4 linked regions of the Xenopus tropicalis genome follow. The protein of the gene in region 2 interacts with the protein of the main gene of each other region in a pairwise test. Links are inferred from orthologs where the notes say so. Each region holds a gene or a part of one and is shown on either strand. Other genes may lie near its edges.

Evidence for each region.
Region 1: the proteins of cpsf7 (region 2) and smad3 interact in binary tests that used the Homo sapiens proteins (3 or more experiments, as listed by UniProt). The two-hybrid records come from large-scale screens. The link is inferred for Xenopus tropicalis from reciprocal best matches to the Homo sapiens genes CPSF7 and SMAD3.
Region 3: the proteins of cpsf7 (region 2) and nck2 interact in binary tests that used the Homo sapiens proteins (3 or more experiments, as listed by UniProt). The two-hybrid records come from large-scale screens. The link is inferred for Xenopus tropicalis from reciprocal best matches to the Homo sapiens genes CPSF7 and NCK2.
Region 4: the proteins of cpsf7 (region 2) and clk2 interact in binary tests that used the Homo sapiens proteins (3 or more experiments, as listed by UniProt). The link is inferred for Xenopus tropicalis from reciprocal best matches to the Homo sapiens genes CPSF7 and CLK2.

Annotation. Positions count from the first base shown.
Region 1 is NC_030679.2:117,404,004-117,407,572, reverse strand, and holds part of smad3 (mothers against decapentaplegic homolog 3), read right to left. Parts: intron 817-3,569; coding exon 623-816; intron 1-622. UniProt on the Homo sapiens protein: Receptor-regulated SMAD (R-SMAD) that is an intracellular signal transducer and transcriptional modulator activated by TGF-beta (transforming growth factor) and activin type 1 receptor kinases.
Region 2 is NC_030680.2:22,871,146-22,874,714, forward strand, and holds part of cpsf7 (cleavage and polyadenylation specificity factor subunit 7), read left to right. Parts: intron 1-2,912; coding exon 2,913-3,131; intron 3,132-3,569.
Region 3 is NC_030678.2:110,108,222-110,112,282, reverse strand, and holds the start of nck2 (cytoplasmic protein NCK2), read left to right. Parts: upstream 1-1,253; 5' UTR 1,254-1,296; intron 1,297-4,061. UniProt on the Homo sapiens protein: Adapter protein which associates with tyrosine-phosphorylated growth factor receptors or their cellular substrates. Maintains low levels of EIF2S1 phosphorylation by promoting its dephosphorylation by PP1.
Region 4 is NC_030684.2:146,294,994-146,298,562, forward strand, and holds part of clk2 (dual specificity protein kinase CLK2), read right to left. Parts: intron 3,044-3,569; coding exon 2,868-3,043; intron 1,376-2,867; coding exon 1,147-1,375; intron 1-1,146. UniProt on the Homo sapiens protein: Dual specificity kinase acting on both serine/threonine and tyrosine-containing substrates. Phosphorylates serine- and arginine-rich (SR) proteins of the spliceosomal complex.

The sequences.
Region 1 (3,569 bases), on a different chromosome or scaffold from region 2:
TTCTTTCTAGTACCTCACAATCTCTACCTTTGAATCCAATCACTGCTGAAACATATGCCTTCAGTTCTAGAACTCCATAATGTCATTTTGCAGTTGTTTCTACTATACAGCTTAGCAGAGTTTAATTTCTGCCCAGCAACCAGCACACGTACAGTACAGTTTGTATATTATGCTCTCTTCAAATTTTTCAAGACGTCCAATACTACATTATTTGAATACAGAACTTGTCAGTGTTTCACAACATCCACTTGTTTCATTACCACTAACTTTATCTCTTAATATTTTTAAAGTTTTTCTTCAAATTTCTTGTAGGGTTCCATGACAACATCTTGGTATTCTTTGCACTGTTGCATAGCTTTTCACAGAAATTCCCCCCAATTTATTGCTCTTCCTTATTCCTTGTATCAAGAAACATGATTCTTTTTACACGTTTTTATTTTTATAAAAAGATTTTATTGTTGAAGGAGGCCCCACCTTTTACCTCATAAATGGCTTTATGTAAGCTATTCTGTAGATTCCTCCCTATTGCTGACTGTAACAAATACTGAAATACCTCTTATTAATTAAGACTGTGATCTGCTTGTGTGAGTGGCTATAAAAGTTTGGGATGTAGAACCTATACCTGGAGTCTCCACTCTCTGGTAGTGATAAGGATTCACACACACTTCGTCTTTCTTCATGTTGAAGGCATATTCACACACCTCCATGGCTCGAAGTTCGTGGTGACTGTGTAGATCTGGCCACCTCCAAAGGCGGCAGTATATGACATGGGGCAAACCCTTGCGATGGGACACCTGGAGCCTTCCATCCAGAGACCTGCATAGGAAAGTCAAATGAATGTGTAATGTAATTACCAGGGATGCAAAATGTGCAACCAACTCCACTGTTACTAGAAAACAAAATTCTTTTTGTCTTCCTGAATTAAAACACCATGTTAATGTTCGTTTTATTCCAACTGTAACTGTTTCTTTCTGCAGCACTGATGGAACACTATGCAAACTGCAGAGGTTCATAGTCTGAGGTCTATGGAATCCCATATAGATGCAACTTTGCAGCTGCAACTCTACAGAAATCTTAAGTAAGCAGCTGCTTTTTTACTTTTTTGTAGCTGCAACTTTCTCGCCTTGTGCATTTTGAGCAACAGTTTTCAAAATGCAAATTTGCAGGAGGTACACAGGATAACTAATGCAAGAAATTATAAATCTGGTGTTGCTTCACTATTACCATACTATAAGAAACTTGAGTTTTTTTATTTAAAAAAATTGAAATATACTTTACATAAAATGACTATAATATTATAGTACCTACAATAGATAGAAGAAAATGCATAAAAATACAAAGTGTAAGGGCACAAAATTAGCAACCATTTCTTTAAATAGGGACCAATCTGGAACCAGTGTACTGAATTATACACTTACCACCCATATAACATATATATTTTAGAAACATCCTGGCAACGTTCCCTTCTGAATTTTGTTTGTGTGTGTGTGTGTAGGAGGGGGTCGTTGCAGTGTTTTGTTGCCTCCTACAATTCAATACAGTCCACTGCTTGGATAGCAAGTGGCTAGGAAATCCACACAGAAATACCCTTCCTTAAACCATGACATTAAAAAAAGAAGACTTCAGTACACAGACTCAACAGTCTAAACAGACTTAAGATCATAGCCTTGAATGTTAAGAATATATATTTACATGAACATATGGCAGAATTGTGAAAAGCGCAAATGTGAATATCACTTTAATTGGGTAAATCATCTTTATGTTAACTTGACGGTCTATGTCATACTAGAAGTTAAAAGTGTTCTAAAGTGAAAAATTAACAGTTTGCAGTTTCTTCATTAAAAAATAAAACTGTCTTCAATATACATTTATTACAACATCTGTACCATTTTTATAAAAAAAAACACGATCTTCTTCCTGCAATTATCCCATTTGCTCCACTCACTCTGGTTACTCAATGCATAAATCTTCAGACAGAAAGTGGCTGCACAGCTTCAAAACCATCAGTGCTGCTCCATGTTCTGGATGGCAGGATGATACAGATTTTTTAATGAACACAGAGCACCTCAATTACACCTTTATTTTTTAAAGGGGAACCTGCAAACAGACTTACTTTTTCACTTTATAAACACTTTAATTTAAAAAGAATGACCCTGGCTGTGCTGATTTGAAAGAGCTTTGCTGGACTATACTTTGCACTTTTTACTACTCTGAAATAGCGCAATAGAAATAGTGTTTTATTTTGAAGCAAGTTTATTGATCAGAGTTATTGTTTCGTTCACACCCTGGAGATGAGCTCTGTGGAATCTATATATCAATCGGAAGGAATAAGGAAACATACAGGATGTGTGACAGGTCACAAAGGGGTGTTCTGGTTTGATAAGATAAACAGTGCAGACAAAGTAAAACACAGAAACAATAAATATAAGGGCATAAAGTAGCACAAGTATCTGTGCCAAAAAAAAATTATAGGTTGAGTTAAAAGAGTAAGGGCACATGAGCATGCTTGAGGATTTTTAGGGGGTTTTGAGGGTACAGTTGTCAATGCAATCTGCTTCTCCTAAATTTGGGATATTTCCAAACATTTTTGCAATGTCGATTAATTCGATCAAAAGCCAAATGCGTAAAAGAGAGGTTTATTAGGCTCACTCCAAATACAAAACAAAAATAGTTAAGATAATTATAGCAAACAAGTATGTAAGTAAAGAAATAACAGATTCTAGTAGAGTCATACCCAAAATTAATGTTGACCCGGGTGTACACAAGACCCCGGGTCTGTTGCTTGTTTCAAATTATTCTGTAAAGAGGGAAAGCTTCTAACGACTTCTAAAACTCACCATTGCCGATGGGTAGTCCGGGTTCCAGAAGCCCTGAAGCTGTAGCTTAAAGGAGCAATAACCATCCATGAAAATGAACAGCTTCAATCAAACGCCGTAACCATTGCCCGATGTCAGTTAAAACATAATTTTATTCACTCATCTAAAACAATTTGCCTGATGCATTTCTTGTGCATGCGCACATAATCATGGGTGATTAATTAGACCCAAATTACCCAATGTGTAAGGGATCTGAAGCTGATCAGCCAATGCTCTAATGTTCTGTGTAAGGGATTATATGCTCTGCGCAATGCAGGGCTCCCCTGTGTCATCCTCAAACTAGTATCTACCAAAGCAGGAGATCTGTGCCTTTAAAGGCCAATTTCAAACCACCACTAGGTGTAAAATAAATATAACATGTACTGTGAACGAAGACAAAAGTATATTTATTGTGCTAACTATCTACAACACAAAGGGGAACATTAACTAATCCTCTAATCCGGATTGGAAACTAAAATTTTGCGACTTTTTCGTCTCTGTCGCGGTTTTTTCCTATTTTGCCCAACTTTTTCGTCGCCGCCACGACTTTATCGTATTTTGCGCGATTTTTTCGTATTGAGCAATTTCGTATTGAGATTGTAAAACCAATCTGAATTTTTCGCGACGGCGACGAAAAAGTCGCGGAAAATATATGATAAAGTCGTAACGGCAACGAAAAAGTCGCGCAAAATACGGAAAAATCGCAAGAAAGTC
Region 2 (3,569 bases):
CAGTCAGCACAGGAATAATGCAAACTGTATATGACCAGTAGAGGGCAATGTTAAAAACATCAATGAATGTGCCTGCCGAGGCAAGACATATGGCAGCTCCTATTTATGGTTCTGTGCAACAGGGATCTATTATACTGCTTAAACATACAGGCAGATTAACTGAAGCCTGATGAAGCTGACCCTAGTGAATATGACTTATGTGATTGTGATATGGCCTTAACTTGCTATGGGACAGAGGCTTATATGAATTATGCCCAGTTTCTCTACCGCTATGGATAACATACTAATGCTGTATAAACAGTGGATAATATAGGGAGTAATTCTCACTGTTGCTGAGGAGTCCCTTGATCATATAAAAGCGTGAAATGAAGGCTGAGTGGCTTTATTCAGACCACGGTTTCTAAGGATATCATTTACAGAATATTTATGGGTTTTGGGTGCTATAATCTGATATATACCAAGTACAATATGTAAATAGGGTGTGTAGACCTGTTGTGCATAAAATCCATATAAAACTAACAACAGTCTTTGTCCTGAATAGAGAGGGTCAATGCAGGTAGGTTGGATCTCCATTCCTGTAGTTATGGGATATTCGGCATTGCAATTTAGCAACAGTTAGAGGGCTGCAGATTTGGTATTGTGAAATTATACCACAATATATATCTCTTTATCTATCTTATCTAGCCCAGGTGCTGGTTAATTATAGTCTCAGCTGCCCCCCAGTTTCTTTTGGTTTATTTTGGGGTTGGTTTGGTGTTACTTGGGGGGATCTGCAATAAGCAGAGTGTTTTCAGGCATCTGTAAGTACAGGTTGGTACTGCTACTACATATCTTGCAGTTACTTATAGCAGCATTAAAATAGGGTTTGTTTGTATTGTACAACCCTGTGGAGTAGAAATTATAGTGCAGGCCTGTCTTCATAGGGCAGAATGGATTAGTTGTTGCTATTGACACTGCAAATTGACACCTATGTTAGCATGGTAGCCACCCAGGCATCGCAGAGGTAAGAATATTCTGGCAAATTTAGCTTGTGTATATAATATATCTGTATATGATGGAGCCATAAGTTGACATACCTGAATACATTGGTCGTTGTGTTTCATCGTTAGCAGAAATGTGGTTGTGGAAGGAAATATACTTTTTGCTGCTCCTGTAGAACAGGTAGGTCTGAGAAAAAAGCTCTAGTAAAATGTCTTGACTGTGCCAGAAATAAGGCACAAGCCTTCTCTGTTGATGTCCAGCTTCCACATGTGTCTCAGCTGGGCATTGCTATTGGGTTTGTATTTGGGTTACAGCTCCAACCCTGCATCTTGGGCTTAGTCCTGCACCATCCACTTGTTCATGATATCCTTATGGGGGAGGGCTATAAGTCCTGCTAATCAAAAAGGTATGTCCAGGGAGCATGTAAAGTGCCCCGTGGCAGCCCTAGGAGCAGGACTGGGTTGGTGGGGCCCACCGGGTGTTTTTCTGGTGTCTGGCTGTCTCAGTCCAACACTGAATAGATTTTCCCTGTAGAGATGCCTATATTAGAATGTTCTGTCTGGGTAAATGCACTTACATGAGAGTGATTCATCTTTTTTGTTTAAATGGATCCTGAGTAAATGTGTTGTATCACTCCCTATGTGCATGCACTGGGCCCCAGTATTATTATTATTGTTATTATTATTAGTTTGCTGTGTGTCTGCAGTAAATGAGTGGTTAGATAATGGGAGCTATTGTAACTCTAGAACTAACTAGCTTTTCCTAGCACCTAATCTGTATAACCCTCTGGCATGTTGGGAAGTCAGTTCCTGTAAGTGAGTGATTAGCTGTGTATTTGTAGGATAATAGGGAATATAGGGATTGCTTAAGGTGCCCATACACTCACAATATTCTCGTACAAACGAGGTTTCATACGCTATTCGGTGCATGTATGGTGGGCTGACTAGGCGACCGGTATCGCAAAAGCTTTGGATAATGGTCGTCTTGTCCATCGGTCAGGTCTGAAAATTTTTATGTTGCCCAAACATCACCTATACGTTAATGGTGAATCATCAGATATGCAGGTAGAAACAACAGGAATTCTACCCCTATCTGACCATTCAGCTCTTAATGTTAGTGGAGTGGACAAACAATTTTTTCTGCAAGAAAGATTGTTATTATAACTTGTACTTGTCCACCTTTACTCTCTTGCTGTTGCAGTTTTGGCTTGAAAAAGAAAAATAGTCTATTTTTATACGTAGGTTTTATATTCCTAAATGTGCAAAGCTCCAGTCAGACATGGATGTACCATAGAGCTTGCATATAACATGCACATGCATTCCCCTATAAGATAGATATACCGGTATATGTCTTTGATAAAGACCAACACTCTCATATTTAAATTAACAAAAGTTTCTTTATTTTACCACTTGTGTGCAGTGGTTCAGTCGTCATTAGGACCATTAATCTAGGATCCTTGTGGTATGTGAAATAAAGAAACTTATCTTTTAAATATGGTATAAGAGAGCTGTCTGATTGCATTTCTGGTTGACTGTACACCTTGAGGAATTGTTTGGAAACTAGTGCATACATGTGTGAATATATATATATATATATATATATATATATATATATATATATATATATATAATATAAAAAATCTTTCATTGAACTGGTCCTTATGCTGCAACTACAACACAATAACTAGATTCCATGAAGCATGCTGCCCTTTTCATTCTGCTTAACACCTGTTCCTTCTTTTCCCCTTTCAGCTTAAAATAAATAATACATTTGTTTTTATATATAAAATGCCATCAGCGCATTCTCTGAACTGTGTAATATATCCTGCAATCCCCTTATTAGTAGTAGCCAAAGGTGTGTTGCTATGGCTGTTCTGCTTTAATTTGCCTGTATAATTTCATTTTTAAGCTTGTGCTACACCTTTCTTATAGGAGTCGGAGTTTGCTGCTGAGCAGGTAGACCTGTATGATGATGTGTTGGCTGTGCCAGCGATTTCCTCCTCGCATGTTGAGAGCAACAGGAACAGCAGTGCCCTGGAACCAACATCTCCAGTACAGAGCACTTCTCCTATGTCAAACAACAAGACTCCTGAAGTCCTGTACCACAGTGGGCGCAACAGGGTGTCCATGTACATCGGAAACTTCTCGTGGGTAAGTGATGGGTCAGGGAGACTAACTGACACTCGGATAGAAGGCCCAACCACTAGCACAGTATTATATTCAGTCCCCAGTAGTTGCAGGGCTTCTGCTCTTATAATCTGTCACTTTATAATCAAGGAGTAAAGCATAATGGGGCACTATAGCCAAGAGACTAAAGTGCTATTAGAAAAATAGAACTGTTTATGGACTCTGATTCTTGTACTAAACCTTAAAGGTCATGGAAAGTATGCATGGAGGCAATGTTTACCATAAACCCATAAATGATATTCATTTTTGGTTGTATTAATATTTACTAAAATTAGAATTAAATACAGTTTGATATAATGAGATTGGTATAATCACAAAACAGGGTCACATCTAGAAAAACCAGAAAGCAGGGTTGAAATTATTGCAATTCAGTTAAATGCAATTGGTGCAGCTCTTCTATGT
Region 3 (4,061 bases), on a different chromosome or scaffold from region 2:
CCTGGTAAACTTGAGGGCTGCTGCTGCCTGAGACGAGTTTCTCAATTCGCCTTATGGCCGCAGTGCCCCTGTATAATAAAATATGTTTTATGGTTGGACAGCTTTAGTCCACAATAACTATAATGACTATTATGTAGCTTGGCACCCCAAAAGCGACTATACATTTATAAAAGATTTCTAATAAGTACCATTTGTGAAAATAATTATAATATGGAGAATTGTTCATCTAATGAAAATACTAGCATAGATTAGGGGGCACATTTACTAACCCACGAACGGGCCGAATGCGTCCGATTGCGTTTTTTTCGTAATAATCGGTAATTTTGCGTTTTCTTTGCGATTTTTTCGGCGTCTTTACGATTTTTGCGTAAAAACGCTAGTTTTTCGTAGCCATTACGAAAGTTGCGCAAAGTCGCGATTTTTTTCGTAGCGTTAAAACTTGCGCGAAACGTCGCGCCTTTTAAGTTTTAACGCTACGAAAAAGGTGCGACTTTGCGCGCAAGTGTTAACGCTACGAAAAAATCGCGACTTTGCGCAACTTTCGTAATGGCTACGAAAAACTCGCGTTTTTCCGCAAAAATCGTAAAGACGCCGAAAAAATCGCAAAAAATACGAAAAAATCGCAAAAAATACGAAAAAAACACAAAATTACCAAAAAAGTCGCAAAATGTTCGTTTCCAATCGGAATTTTTCCAATTCGGATTCGAAATCGTGTCTTAGTAAATCAGCCCCTAGGTGTATACACAAACTTTATAAATATTGTGATGTCAACAGCTTGTGCACTGCTTCTTTTTCTTTTTTTGATGAACATCTTAATATCTACATTAATTTCAGGTAGCTAAAATATGAAAGTGTGTATCAGTGGCTTTTCGAGACAAGGCTCTGATGGCAGCAGGTACTGTTGGCAACAAGGACAAAGTCTTTCTTTCGTTCCCTGTCACAATTCAGAACTCCGACTAGAAAATATGAATGACTTCTGAGGAAACATCGGGGGCAGAGGCGGCAGCGAGCATGGCGGTCACCCAACACCAAAGAAAAGTCTTTTTTCTTTTGTTCTCTATCAAAAGTAGGAGGTGCGAGCATTGGAAAAAGAGATTGGGAGCTGACCAACCGCGGCTGCCTAGCAGCTTCCCACCGTGTAACACTGAGCCAGGCCGGCTCGTCACTCCCACAAGGCGGCGCGCCAATGTGTCAGTGCGTTACGTGTAGCGGCGATGCCAGTCTCGCGTGAGGAGAGATGTGGCGCTGGGAGTGTGTGTAGGACCGGAGCCTGCAGTAACAAGCTCTTCGGGAGATGTAAGTAGCGATACGGGACTAAGGGCTGTGTGAGGAACAGCGGGACTGTTGCAGTATGCACTTACTTCCAGACTTGGGGAGGCAGGGCGGGAGCTGGGGTACCAGCATGTTCTTTCCCATACATAGGTTTCTGTACCAGTGGTTTTGTGACAGAAGCTTTAGTCCCGGTAGAGCTGGATTGGTTAAGCTGGGGGTGAAGTTCAAACTCCCTCCTACCCTATTCAGTTCCCGGGACTAAAACTTCTGTGACAGAACAAGCAGAATACAAGCTGTGTAGGAGAAAGAACATGCTGGCACCCCGCTCCCGCCCTCCCTTCACAAGTGTGCAGCTCATTGACATGAACGGGCTCGGTAATCCTGCAGCGCTGCCGGTTCCCTTTAGGACCCAGAAGTCACCCACCCATTCGCCACCGATGCTGGCCCTTCCTTTGAGGGTCCCCAGGCAGCTGCTTCGCGCACTGAGCTGCTGTTACATGCGAATGATTGTATTCAGTGTGCGGGTCTGTAGCGCTGCATATTGTCTGTGTGAATACATTAGTGCGTGGGGGAAGCCTTTGTGCTATTGCCTTTACTTTCTGGCGTGTAAGTTCTTGCAATAGGGACTCTTTTTTTCAGTGCAGTTGTAAATGAATTCGATCCTCGCACAATAAATGAGTTGAAGGCGGGGATGGGGCGCAGATTTAGCGCACATTGATATTAAAGCTGAGTGGTTGTGATAAGTGCAAAGCAGGGCCAACCTGCAGCCCCACAGTTGTTTCCTATCATGCACCACCTCCAGCATGTGGCAGCTAGGTGTATGTGGGCTGGCATGGGCTGCTGGGAATTAGAGTTCAAAGGCTAAAGAAGGTTGGACATAACTGAGGGCTGCTGAATTTGGGCATTTTAGGTTTTATTGGTGGGGTGAATACCCTTCTATTATCACATATTCTCAGTATTAACACATTTGCTGCTGGATTCCAAGCTGTCTCTGGATGCAATGTCAGCACTAGAACTATTCATCAGAAGTGTTTATTCTGTTGAGCAGCAGCACACAACACTATGGGATTTATTTATATTGCTGTGTACGAGTATGTGGAGTGAAACATTACCGGTGATGTTGCTCATAGCAGCCAATCAGGTGCTTTGGTTTTCTAACTGTTGAAATCTGCTTGCTGATTGGTTGCCTTGGGCAATATCACTACTTTTTACACAGCAAGATAAATATACCCCTATGTGTGATGCCATGTGTTGGCAGGAGTGGTGTAAAGATCTATGTCACTGGACTCCAAGGAGGTGGAAGATGCCTCTCTCAAGGCATGAATCATTCCTCGCATTTGCCCGTCTGACTTAGTCTAGTCTGGGTAAGGTAGATGCAAGTAGGACTACTACCTGCTTGAATGTGTAAGGGTGACAATAAAGCTGGAAATGAATAGGTGTCTGGGTCCACTTTTTAATGGTCTGGGATAGGGTTCTTGGTCTTATTAAAAGCAAAGCTTAAAGCTTCAGTGAACAATGGCATTCTTGATCATTTCTTTCTTTATACTTTGTGGCAACAGTTTAGGCAAGGTCATTTTATGTCTAGTATATTAATACCCATCTTGCACAAATTGGTTTGCTGAGATGCAAGCGAAAAAGATTGATCTCAATCCAACTGATCACCTCTGGGTACAGCCCCCTCCTTGGCTCCTAATAAGTTTACAAATATAAGTACACATGCACTTACTGAAATTCTAGGCATGCCCAATATAGTTGATAAGCATTTACTCTTAAGGGTATGGCCATGCAAGGTGAATTGTTAGCCTGCATATAAAATAAATGCCACCCCTGCCATCTTAGTTACATTACCCAGGTGTCCTGCTTTAGATTTAGACTGAGATGTATATGCAGTAGGGTAAAAATTTCCATTTGTACTCTGCTGAGGTAGAAATACCTGATACTGCAGCCAGTATATAGCATTCCTAACATATTGGCACCATTCAGTGAATCAGGGTTTCCTTATCCAAAATTGACTTTAAGGCTTGGCCCTCCCTTCTAGTACTTCTAGTACTTCCCTGTGAGGCCATACCCACAGTTTGGCAACTACTGTTGCAGGATGTGTATCCACATGCATCTGAAATATTAATGTGCATTGCATTAAACACATAGGGTGTATGTTTGTTTGTTTTTTTCAATATGATTATAAATGCACAATATTTTGTCCATGCTTGTAGTTATGTATGTGTGACAGTAGTATGTATAAGTGATCACTTTATACAACAACTAGGATATTGCCATGCATACATTGTAAAATGTAACTGCAGATGGAGAAAAGGAATGTGTTTCAGGTAGCAGGTAAGCTTTTTTTCTGTTTTTAGTCTCCTGATACAGAGATTCTTTTTCAGTATTCTGTGTTCCACAGTCTCTCCATGTTCACTGGCCATTTGTGGTGTGTTTAGATTCAGTGGGTGGCAGCAGATGTTGAAATATACATAGGCTATAAATGTGCTTTCACAGACTGCATTGCAAACTTTGGTTTACAGCTGATTGAAAACAGAGCAAGGAGCATTAAAAATACAGTGCAATGCAGGTGCTTACGCACAGTCTTGTGAGTATGATGCTGTAGAACAACATGTGTTTATTTTAAGATCACTTTTTATGCAGTTGTTCTATAGATTTTGAACTCAATTGGCATAGCAGATGGCCGATATATTATTATGGTACAGTAGCTTTAAGGGGCATGGATCTCTACACATAAAAAAAAAAAAAAAATACACTACAGGTATTAAACATTATAGGACTTACTGGCA
Region 4 (3,569 bases), on a different chromosome or scaffold from region 2:
CGGTACCCCAAGCACTTCTGCCCCCTGGCACTTCCCTGGGCAACATATTACACCCCCTGCCTGGGCCAGAGAAACATTAGCATTGGGGCAAGTACAGGCAAATGCCCGGCTGAACTGCATTATCCAGCAGTGACATTGCATGGACATAGGGGCACTACCCTCGGCCTACCCGGCCCATTAGCAGCACAGAGGCACTACCCTCAGCATACCCAGCCCATTGGCAGCAGAGGGGCACTACCCCCAGCATACCCAGCCCATTGGCAGCAGAGGGGCACTACCCTCAGCATACCCAGCCCATTGGCAGCAGAGGGGCACTACCCACAGCATACCCAGCCCATTGGCAGCACAGGGGCACTACCCTCAGCATACCCAGCCCATTGGCAGCACAGGGGCACTACCCTCAGCATACCCAGCCCATTGGCAGCACAGGTGCAATTACACTATATAATAAGGCAATGCCCCAGGCCCAAAGCATGCAGATCCTAATGATTGCGCAGGAGTCACTCTCTGCCCTGCCAGGCCCTGAGGCCGGAGGGAGATGGTATCCCTCTATGAATTTGGGGTTCCCTGTGGCCCCCACACACCCACCAGTGCAAAGAGAATTTGCAAGGGAATAGCAGAGATAGAAAGAACCCCAGGTTTGGCTAAGGAATGAGGGCAAACAGCCCAAGTTCCCAGGAGCCACACGTATGGGTTATTCAGGCAGATCAGGTTGGCACTGGTGCCAAACCCAGTATAAACCCATCCAAAAGGTTGGATTAAGCTGGTAGCACTGATGAGCCCCAAAGCCAGCAGGCTAAGGGTTAAAGCCAGCACCCACAGCTCTCAGGGGTGCATGCCATACAGGCCCTATACTTATTGTACAGCGCTGCGGAATATGTTGGCGCCTTATAAATGTTAATAATAATAATATACCCACACATACAGCCCCCTGCGACTCCCAGTGCTGTGGGGCTCATTCACATGCAGAGATTTACAGAAGGGGAGGGGTCAGTTGAGCAGTCCCATCCCCCGACAGACAGCAATAAGCACGGCCCGGGTATAAACATGAGAAATACACAGGAGTGGGTGAGTACTTACCGGCTCTTCTAAACCACCCTAAAAACAAAGGGGGGGCATTAGGGTGGGGTCGGGGTGGGTACTCACCGATGAGGACTGGCTATAAGACCTGGTTCTGCGCTTTCTCCGCTTCTGTTTGCGCCGAGCGCTCTTGCAGCTCCTGTAGCTGTCCTCCCGCGAGTGCTTGTACTCGTACGAGTGGCGATAGTCTGCCTCGTAATACACGTCCCCCCTGTCCCTGCTGTACTCATTCCTCCTGTAGCCGTCGCAGTACCGCCGATCGTAAGCTCTTCTGTTCGACGAGCGCTCCTCGTAACTGGGCGGGAAGGGACAGGAAGGTTCACACATAACTCACCATTTACCCCCCCAGGGGCTATACCTCCCACTGCAGATATACATAACCCCAAGCTGCCCCCCCAGGGGCTATAGCTCCCACTGCAGATATACATAACCCCAAGCTGCCCCCCCAGGGGCTATACCTCCCACTGCAGATATACATAACCCCAAGCTGCCCCCCCAGGGGCTATAGCTCCCACTGCAGATATACAAAACCCCAAGCTGCCCCCCAGGGGCTATAGCTCCCACTGCAGATACACATAACCCCAAGCTGCCCCCCAGGGCTATAGCTCCCACTGCAGATATGCATAACCCCAAGCTGCCCCCCAGGGGCTATAGCTCCCACTGCAGATACACATAACCCCAAGCTGCCCCCCCAGGGGCTATAGCTCCCACTGCAGATACACATAACCCCAAGCTGCCCCCCAGGGGCTATACCTCCCACTGCAGATATGCATAACCCCAAGCTGCCCCCCTAGGGGCTATAGCTCCCACTGCAGATATGCATAACCCCAAGCTGCCCCCCTAGGGGCTATAGCTCCCACTGCAGATATACATAACCCCAAGCTGCCCCCAGGGGCTATAGCTCCCACTGCAGATATACATAACCCCAAGCTGCCCCCCCAGGCGCTATAGCTCCCACTGCAGATATACATAACCCCAAGCTGCCCCCCCAGGCGCTATAGCTCCCACTGCAGATATGCATAACCCCAAGCTGCCCCCCCAGGGGCTATAGCTCCCACTGCAGATATGCATAACCCCAAGCTGCCCCCCAGGGGCTATAGCTCCCACTGCAGATACACATAACCCCAAGCTGCCCCCCAGGGGCTATAGCTCCCACTGCAGATATGCATAACCCCAAGCTGCCCCCCTAGGGGCTATAGCTCCCACTGCAGATATACATAACCCCAAGCTGCCCCCCCAGGCGCTATAGCTCCCACTGCAGATATACATAACCCCAAGCTGCCCCCCCAGGCGCTATAGCTCCCACTGCAGATATACAAAACCCCAAGCTGCCCCCCCAGGGGCTATAGCTCCCACTGCAGATATGCATAACCCCAAGCTGCCCCCCCAGGGGCTATAGCTCCCACTGCAGATATGCATAACCCCAAGCTGCCCCCCAGGGGCTATAGCTCCCACTGCAGATACACATAACCCCAAGCTGCCCCCCAGGGGCTATAGCTCCCACTGCAGATATGCATAACCCCAAGCTGCCCCCCTAGGGGCTATAGCTCCCACTGCAGATATGCATAACCCCAAGCTGCCCCCCTAGGGGCTATACCTCCCACTGCAGATACACATAACCCCAAGCTGCCCCCCAGGGGCTATAGCTCCCACTGCAGATACACATAACCCCAAGCTGCCCCCCCAGGGGCTATACCTCCCACTGCAGATACACATAACCCCAAGCTGCCCCCCCAGGGGCTATAGCTCCCACTGCAGATACACATAACCCCAAGCTGCCCCATTACCTGCGTGACCTCTCGTGGTAACTGTCACCGTGCTTGTGCCTGCGGTCACGTCCTCTGTCGCTGCTACTGCTCCGTGACCTGCTTCTTCTCCGCCTGTGCTTTCGGCTTCTGTAACGCTCATGGTAACTGCCCCTGCTGCCCCTCTCTGAAGAACGGTACCGCCTGGAGTGCGGCATCTACAGGGAAGGGGCAAATATGTTAGTCATTTACTAACCCATGCACTCACTCTTATCAGTAACATGCCCCGCCCACTGGCACCTCCCACCCATATGTATAAATACACATATACAGAGAAGGAATGTTCTGGGCACACAATAAGCTGTACCCCCATACTGTACTGTCTAAGGGAAACACTATGGCACCCCCTACCCATATGTATAAATACAAATATACAGAGAAGGAATGTTCTGGGCACACAATAAGCTGTACCCCCATACTGTACTGTCTAAGGGAAACACTATGGTAGCCCCTACCCATATGTATAAATACAAATATACAGAGAAGGAATGTTCTGGGCACACAATAAGCTGTACCCCATACTGTACTGTCTAAGGGAAACACTATGGTAGCCCCTACCCATATGTATAAATACAAATATACAGAGAAGGAATGTTCTGGGCACACAATAAGCTGTACCCCCATACTGTACTGTCTAAGGGAAACACTATGGCACCCCCTACCCATATGTATAAATACAAATAT